Linked DNA regions of Macaca fascicularis. The protein of the gene in region 2 interacts with the protein of the main gene of each other region in a pairwise test. Links are inferred from orthologs where the notes say so. Each region holds a gene or a part of one and is shown on either strand. Other genes may lie near its edges.

What was found.
Region 1: the proteins of ERCC6L2 (region 2) and CYREN interact in binary tests that used the Homo sapiens proteins (3 or more experiments, as listed by UniProt). The two-hybrid records come from large-scale screens. The link is inferred for Macaca fascicularis from reciprocal best matches to the Homo sapiens genes ERCC6L2 and CYREN.

The regions. Positions count from the first base shown.
Region 1 is NC_088377.1:176,837,204-176,841,778, forward strand, and holds the start of CYREN (cell cycle regulator of non-homologous end joining), read right to left. Parts: upstream 3,027-4,575; 5' UTR 2,526-3,026; exon of another isoform or gene 1,741-2,525; intron 1,386-1,740; exon of another isoform or gene 1,356-1,385; 5' UTR 1,218-1,355; coding exon 1,081-1,217; exon of another isoform or gene 119-1,080; coding exon 43-118; exon of another isoform or gene 1-42. UniProt on the Homo sapiens protein: Cell-cycle-specific regulator of classical non-homologous end joining (NHEJ) of DNA double-strand break (DSB) repair, which can act both as an activator or inhibitor of NHEJ, depending on the cell cycle phase.
Region 2 is NC_088389.1:127,167,450-127,171,895, forward strand, and holds the start of ERCC6L2 (DNA excision repair protein ERCC-6-like 2), read right to left. Parts: upstream 2,790-4,446; 5' UTR 2,709-2,789; coding exon 2,663-2,708; intron 1,171-2,662; exon of another isoform or gene 772-1,170; coding exon of another isoform or gene 753-771; intron 1-752. Other genes in the region: putative uncharacterized protein ERCC6L2-AS1, read left to right, coding at 2,790-3,200. UniProt on the Homo sapiens protein: Promotes double-strand break (DSB) end-joining and facilitates programmed recombination by controlling how DNA ends are joined in a spatially oriented manner during repair.

The DNA.
Region 1 (4,575 bases), on a different chromosome or scaffold from region 2:
GCAGAGTTTCTGGTCATGAGTAAGAGGCTTGGCTGACTTTACCTCAATCAGGATTCCCAGAGCAACATCGACTATCTCGGCCTCATTCATGCAGTACACAGTCCTTGTCGCAGGGTGTCTGAAACAAAGACACGCAAGGCACAGATGACACAGACTCTCAGGTCTCACAAGGACAAAGAAAACAGGAGCAAGAGGGCCTCTTCCCGCCAACTTCCCACAGGAGGCACCAGCACCTCTGAGCCGAGGAGCTTTCTCCAACACGGACACAATTTCCTAAGCCTTGCAGACCGGTGACTGGCACAGGGCTTCATGGAGGCAACACCGGGGTGCCTCCCACCCTCCACCAACCGCCCTACAAGGATCTGGAAGTAGGGAAGGGCTGCCGCCTCTGAAACACACACGTGGATGCAAGAGGAAGGGGACCTCAGGCCGAGGCTGCACTGAGAGGAACCTGAAAGCAGGACCAGACTTAGGGAAAGGCGGCAGCAGTCACATGGGAAGGCTGTCGGTCAGGAAACCTTAGAGGAGGAGGAGCCAGAGAGGGGAACACCGAGTGCTGGGGCCCCGCCCACTTGATGTTGCAGCCTGGAGACTCACCCCACCCCACGCAATTACCGTCATTCAACTCACTCCTCAGCTCCTGACCGCTTGCTGGCCCCGCAGCTGCTGCTCATCTGTCCATCCCTAAAGGGCTGTCCACAGGAGGAGCAGGCACCACTCAGAACAGACCCTACCACTGATCTTGCCCATCTGATGTTACCATGTTTGTTGTAAAGGAAGAGACTCACATTTTGGACAACTGGCCTCAGAGATTGGCTGACATGGAAAACCCATTGTGTGTGTGCTGACAGCAGAGCACTCACCAGTGCAGAGGCAGAAGCGGGTTCCTGTCCTCGAGGTTTAACCCATTTTGCCTCCTGCCCACAGCCCCTCCACCTCCTAAAAGCTCAAGAGATGATCAGACTGAAAACACCTGCCCATCTTGCTGTTCTGCCTACGCTGGAAGACCTGGCCCAGGTCGTGGAGGTCCCTGCTCCACTCGCCAGATTCACAGGAGTTATCTGACCAGAGTTGTCGCACCTTGCTGCTGCCACCGGCACTGCTGCCATTCTCATCCTCTTGGGGGCCTTTGCTGGTGCCACATTCTTGGTAGCCACCTGGGCTGTCAGCCATGAGGGAAGGACCCTCTTTTTAGTCTCGGATTGTAAGGTTTCCATCTCTGTACCTTCTCACAAAGAAAAGTCAGGGCCAAAGCTTAATGACCTGCTTTTTAGTTCAGGAAGGTAAATCCCGTTCTCTCGTCACACCCGGAATTACAGGTCCATTTGTCCTCAGTGGGAGTTGATCTTTGATTCCTACAAAGAATAAAGTTCAGTGAATTCCAATACCTCCAGTCATCAAGCAGTTACCGGCCGGTGCAGGGCAGGCCAAAGGTGACCAAAAGGTGAGCAGGGCCCAGGAGACTCAGACGGCCATTCACAGACATCAGGCAGACGTGATTGTGGGCATGAGAGCGGCTCAGGAGAGAGCCCTCTGACCTCCGCAAAGCGGTGCCCCCTACAGGCAGCCAGAGCCAACCAGAGCTACCTCCTGCAGCCTCTGTGCTGACTGACTCAGCACAGGAGGAAAGGAAGAGGCGGAGGCCCCCAATGTTCCTCCTCATTACCACCCCAAATGCCAGTCCTCGGGATGCCCAGCCCATCTAATCCCTAAAATATCTCTTAATGGCCTCTCCCTCACCTGGTCAACTCGATTTCTCCACTCCTCTGTGGTGGCTCAGTTACATGAAACTGAGGGCATTTTATTTCACAATAAAGTCTCATTGGCCAACACCCCGCCCTTAAGCTAAAGATATTTCTGATTGGTCAAACTTGAACCAGCAATAGGGGCCACGAAGCATAACTGTGCCAGTCTGTGGACTCTGAAGCCCACGCCAGACTCTGATCTAGTTTGGCCTCTCTTCTTCCTATCCCAATTGTTCTGCCTCCAGTCTGCAGTCCTGGAGCTCAGTCCTCACCCAGAGAGATGGAATTGTGACTCAGAGGGCCTAGGTCTCTACCTTCCACTTAGGAATTAAGCCACAAGCTCCTGAAGCAGAGGTATGCCCAGAAAAAAGTAGTCAGCGATAGTCCTCTCTGAATCACAATTTGATAATGTATTGCTCATTCAGAGGGCTGTTTACAACTTAAGAAAAAATATTAGCAGGCCCTCCTCCTAACCTGTATGGCCACGGGGCACACCTTTGCCAATGCCCCCTCATTTCTGTCAAAACTCATTGATATTAGTGACTCCTACTCCCTAAGGCGCCTCGCAAGTGCACTGCTGCAATCTATGTGGACAAATTTGGTTCACCCTGGGGTGCATATTAAGTACATTTCGCAAACGAGGAACTGAGACTGAGTTAACTTGCAGAAGATCACAGAGAAGTTTGAAATCAGCTGGTTGGATTCGCAGCCAGGTCCTGCAGACTCCAGACCCCGCGCCTCCCCGCCCTGCTTCTGGGCCCGAAGGGCAGGCCGCAGCACCTTCCAGAAGCCGGGTCTCCGGGGCACCGCGCTCGCGGACAGACCTCAGTCCCATGCCGGCCGTTCCCTGCCTAAGCGGAAGGGGGCCCCCGCGGGAACGCGATGTGATGCCAGTTCACAGCCCGCCCTCGCTCTTGGGGCCGGTACCCGCTGCTGGACCTGTGGGAGGCCCAGAGGGCCAGTGACTGCGGAGGGGAAGGCGGCGGCGAAGCACCGCAGGGGCCTCGCTGACCCTGCCGCACGCGGGTCAAGGCTGCACCGGCTCCTTCCGACCCGAGGAACAGCGCGCTCCTCCCGCCGGCTACTGGCTTCCCTGCTCTCAGGTTCCCTCTCTCCACTTCTTGTGCCCCTTCTTAGCTTCCAGAGCGGAGCCAGGAGGCAAATTCCGAGCGGTTGTGGGACCCGCGCCCCACCCAGAACTTAAATCCCCACCTTCTTTCCTAGCACCGGAACTCCCCTGGCCTCCTCTGGCCGCCTGCGTCTTCTGCGCGCTCCCGCCTCGTACACTTCCGGTCCTGGCGCGGCTCCCGGACCCCTCGGAGTCCTAGCACCCGGGACACTTCCGGCTCTGGGCAGCTGGCTCACTGGGAGGTCCGCGGGCGCCCCCTGCTGGCCGTGCCTGCGCCCCTTGCTGGCACACGGTTTCCTGCGCACTGCAAACGCGAGGCAGGGCAGCAGGCCTGAGGAAAGTGAGTGTCCATTCCTGGCCCCTGAAGTTAGTGGAAGGGAATGGGAGTGTTTTGGAAAGGCCTCCCGGGAATTCCCTCGGAAACCAGGTGGAGGATCCCTGCTGAGCCAGGCAGCCCTGGAGTGCTGGAGGAGGATGGGAGCCCGGCCTCCATTTGTTATCCTAATGAAGTGGAAAATTAAGAAGATAATAGAATAATAGCATAAGTGTAGCAGGACAAGCTGCAGACAAAACTCCTCAGACACTGAGTTAAAGAAGGAAGGGGTTTATTCAGCCAGGGCCATCAGTAAGACTCCTGTGTCAAGAACCGAGCAATTCCTGTCCCTTTTAAGGGCTTACAACTCTAAGGGGGTCTGCGTGAGAGGGTCCTGATCGATTGAGCAAGCAAGGGGTACGTGACTGGGGGCAGAATGTACCGGTAATGAAATCGGAACAATACAGGATAGGGATTTTCACAGTGCATTGCTATACAATGTCTGTAATCTATAGATAACATAACCGATGAGGTCAGGGGTCGATCTTTAACCACCAGGCCCTGGGTGTGGCCCCAGGCTATCTGCTTGTGGATTTCATTTCTGCCTTTTAGTTTTTACTTTTTCTTTCTTTGGAGGCAGAAATTGGGCATAAGACAATATGGGGGGGTGGTCTCCTCCCTTATAAGTACTAATAGTAAAATTATAGTAAGAGAAATAAAAGCTCATAGAATGAATTGCTGTATTAACCAAAGCTGAAAAGAATTTCAGCCCTCCTGAAGTTAAAGGAGGATATTAACTGCCAGTCCCAAGAAACATTAACTGTATCTGCCCTTCAAATATTTTGTGGGCTCTGTTAAGTTTGTGTTTTCTTTCTTCCCTGCACAGCTACAAGGTCTCACAGTGTGTCCGGAATTGACTGACTTCAAGAATGAAGCCACAGACCTCATTGTGAGTGTAAGAACTTTTACAGTGCTTAAAAGATGGTGAGTCCAGAGTTTGTTCCTTCTGACGTTCGGATATGTTCAGAGTTTCTTCCTTCCGGTGGGTTTGTGGTCTCACTGGTTTCAGGAATAACCTGAAACCACCTCCGCGGTGAGTGTTACAGCTCATGAAGGCAGCTTGGACCCAAACAGTGAGCACCAGCAGGATTTATTGTAAAGAGTGAAGAAACAAAGCTCCACAGGGTGGAACGGGACCGGACCTGGTCGCCACTGCTGGCTGGGGCAGTCTGCTTTTATTCTCTTATCTGACCCTACCCACATCCTGCTGATTGGTCCGTTTTACAGAGCACGTTACAGAGAGCTGGTTGGTCCATTTTACAGAGAGCTGATTGGTCCATTTTGACAGAGTGCAGATTGGTGCATTTACAGTCCCTGAGCTAGACACC
Region 2 (4,446 bases):
GCCCTATTTTCATAACAGTACTATTTGCACCTTAAAACCTAAAGCAACCCTTATACAATTATTAACCCATTACTTACTTTTCCCATTATGTGTTTGCCTCCCCTATCATTTTTTAAGACTCATTTTATTATCGATTATTCAACACACGTGATTTAAGCACAAATTATTCACCAAATATTATACCACATAATGAGTATAAAATGAAGAAAACTAATGTCAAAAATGATGGTGACTAATAGTTTTCCTGCATCTCATTAATTGGCATCATCATCTAACCAACTTTTCAAAGTAGAAAACCATTAGTTAGCCCTTAAACCTCATTTAATATTACTCCTTACATCCAGTCTGTCAGAATGGCCTGGTTTTACTTCAAAAATGAATGACTCTCCTCCATGCCACCATCTCACTAAAGCAAAGGCTGGCAAACATTTTCTGTAGAGTCAGTCATTAGCTATTCGTTACTTTAGATTTTGTAGGCCATACATTCTCTTGCCCTTGTAATGCAAAAGCAACCAGACAATACATAAACAAATGGGCAGAGCTGTATTCCAATAAAACTTTATTTACAAAAAGAAATGTCAGACCAGTCTTAGCTCACAGACAGTAGTTTGCTGACCTCTGTCTTAAAGCATGCCACCATCAACTCTCCCTAAATTAAGCCTAACCAGGCTCTCTGCTCCCAGTCCACCTATTTAGAGTAGGGTACCCCATTATTCTATATCTCATCATTTTATTGCCTCTGTAGCACTTACCATAACATTTAATTATCATGTCCACTTGTTTTTGTCTTTTTCTTCCACTAGAGAGTAATTTCCTTCCCAAGAAAAAGTTTGTACTGTTATAAATTTTATCCCCAGGACCAACACAGAGTCACACAGCAGACATTCAATGAACATGTGAATTTATTACACATTCTTTTTCTTTTTTTTTTTTTAGACAAGAGTCTCTCTGTCGCCCAGTCCGGAGTGTCATGGCACAATCATAGTTCACTGTAAACTCCAACTCCTGAGCTCAGCCATCCTCCCGCCTCAGCCTCCTGATTAGCTGGGACTACAGGTGTGCACCAACATGCCTGGCTAAAATTTTTATTTTTAGTACAGACAGGGTCTCGTTTACTTTGCAGGCTGGACTTAAAACTATCCTCCAGCCTCAGCTTCCCCAAAGTACTGGGATTACAGGTGTGAGCCACTGCGCCTGGCCTATTACAAATTATCGATCTCATAGATCCTTGGTATCTTGCGAGAGAGAAAACTAAAAAGTACATAAACATATACATAACTGTAAAAAGTGCATTGGAAGAAAAATGCTATGAGAAGGGAGTATTGAGAAATGTAATTTAAAAGGGAAAGGGGTCTAAGAACTGTATTTCAGATAAGTGTACAGCAAGCGCAAAAAAAAAACAAAACCTTAAGGGAATCACACAACTTATTGGAGTATTTTTGGTTTCTGAGTTTGGGTAATTTCTAGAATGAAAAAAATTCAGCTAAGTTTGAGTTAGAAATGGAATCTCTCAATATCCAAACTACAGAACAACTGCTTAAATTGTGAGGATTTCCTGTTGGATTTAACAGGGTTAAGTCTCCTATAATTTAATGAGTCGAAATCATTTGTTTTGGTTTAAACTAATTATCAATTCAATTCATTCTGGTGATGGGGTCTCTCTCTCCCTCTTTCACTCCAATGGCCTCCTCGCTATTCCTCAAGCATGTTCCTACCTCGGGGCCCTGGAGCTTTCTGCTCCTTCCACCAATAAATACCAGAGTGACTAGATCTATCAGAAGGAATGAACGTCCCAGTCACCATAATCTCCACTTGGCAGCTTCATCTATTTATTTTTAGCTGCCAGTCTCCTATAGGTATTTATATGTGTGGCCCCTGAATTACAGCATCATCAATTCCTAGACCTCAGAATTCAGGCTTGTAACTTGCCCTCTCTGAGCTTTAGCTCTGAATTCATCTAGTTAATGAGATTGATATCTTCCTCAAAAGAAAGCAAGTAGTTAAACAATCAGCATATTGGTGGGCTCAGGAAAATCACTCAATACCCGGTAGCTTTTGTTATACAGCACAATTATTAATGAAAGCTATTCATTTGGGTGCCAGAAGGCATCCCAGATGACTTGTGGTAGATTATCACACCTTCTTTAAACCTCCTATTTAAGGCAGAATATAATGCCCTGACTCAATAGGCAATAAACCTCCACTGAACTAAATATCTCAACCTTCATTTACCTACTTACAACAAACGTCTGCCATTCACTAACAACTGGGCATACAACGATAAAGAATGAAAATGACGTTTACTGAGTGCTTAATATGGGCCAGACGCGGGGTCACATAAATGCTTTGCGTATTGTCCACGTCATTTAAAAATCACAAGAACCTAGTAATGAACCCAGTTTTACAAATGAGGAACCTGCCCAAAGTTGCTCAGCAAGTAACTGTCAGAGGCAGCACTAGATCCCAGGGGCTGACCCCCGAGTCCAGGTTCTCAACACTGAATCGGAGATTTGGTCCCAGGCCTGCAGGGGGTTCACAATCTGCAGCTGTCACTGAAGACGATCTACAGGGCAAACCCCAACCCGAAGGGCACCGGCGAGAACTGGTCCAACGCGACGCAGCAGACAGGCCTCTGGGTAAGGGGCGAGCGCGGAGCTGGTACCTTTGCCCGCGGTTTCCGCGCAGGGCTGTGGCGCCGAGGGATCCATCCGGCCAGGGGGAGGGGCCGAGCCCGGCTGCACGTAACACCCGGAAGGCGGAGGACAGCGAGGTGGCTGGCCGGTGGGCCAATGGCGGCCAACGCCACTTCCGGTCGCCCTCCGAGCATCGCTCTCCGGCAACCCGAAGCCACGGGAAGGAGGAGGGGGATCCCAGCTAAGGCAGCGACTAAGGGAACCCGAGGAGAACGGGAGGGCGACGTCCGGAGCGGCGGCAGAGCCACGGGACGCTGTGTGAGGCTGGCAAGGCGGTGTTCACCTAGTTCTTTCGGGCTCCGCCGCCGCCGGTGGAGAACACGAGGCCAGCATTGCGACCCCCAAATCTCCTCCTCAGGATCTGACCTCAGTCTCCTAACCCCGCAACTTCCATCCCGGCCTTGGAAAATCCCGCGAGAACGGGCTGCCGAATTGTCACTGGGATCTCGCGAGAACGAAATCTTCCTTTCCGTGGGCGGAGCCATCTTCCCGATGTCTCGCCCCTAGGAGGCCTGTAGCAGGAAGGGCCGCGGGAGTTGCGAGTGTCGCGAGGTTTGAGGTCGCTGGGTGGGCCGGGCGCTGAGCGACGCTGGTCATAACTGGGGGGCTTGGGAAGGCAGTGGCTGTGAAGGGCCACTGAGGCGGTGGAGGCCTGGCAGAGGGCGTCCCGGCGGTCGCGGCTCTTGGCTTCTCGGTGGAGCTTGGTTCGTCCGTGGTGGTGCCGCACCCCAGGAACTTCCAGGAGCCAGTCCCTCCTTGGAGAGCTCCCCGGGACACCCACAGGTGCCAAGTGAAACTAGCGCGTTTTCTTGGATCCTACACTTTGTAGTGAATCATAAATACTTTAAATACAAAGCCAACAACATTTGCTGGGAATAAACGTAAAAATACTGTTAAAGTGTAAAGTTTTCCTTCGTCCCTCTGACGTTTCTGGCGGGTCGCTGAACGCGGGAGACTCAGCCGTCTGCTCTGAGCCCGGAGCATCTGAGGCAGCCGCGCCCACCCGCGAGGTGCAGGAGGTACACGGCCCCTGACGCTCCCAGGCAGCGCAGACAGAGGGATCCGTAAGTGGCTTCCGCGCTTGTTACCATTTGCATACTCTAAGGTATTTCATGGATTGAGTGAAATACCTGACGGGGCCTGTATCCGTTCCCTATTGCCGCAATAACCAGTGACCACAAACTTTGTAGCTTGAAACAGCACAAATATATCATCTTGCATTTATTGTCTCGCGGTTCTGTAGGTCAGAAGTACTACTGGGTGTAACCTTAGCTGCACTCCTTTCTGGAGACTCCACAGGACCATCCTTAGCTTGCCTTCGCCAGCTTCTGTCAACATTCGTTGCCTTTGGCCCCTTCCTGCATCTTCAAAGCCAGTGACGTGCCATCTCCGACCCTTCCATCCTCAAGTCTACCGCTGATGGCAGCTGGAAAAGATTCTGAGGGCTCACCTGAGCAATCCAGGATCATCTTCCCATTTCCAGGCCTCTGCCCTTGATCACATCAGCGGAATCCTTTTGCCATGTAAGCTAATATATTCACGAATTCCAGAGATTAGGAAATAAACATCTTTGGGGGATCATTATTCTGCCTACAGTAGTGTCTTAAGAAAACAATATGGCTGTTTGCTCTGCAAATAGATCTCAATTCTTTGGCAGATACTAAAAACCAGTAGTATGTGTTCATAAAATGCTTCATTTAAAATATAACTTGTTTGCTTACCACCAGGTAGTAACTTTAAGCCTAAGTGAAAC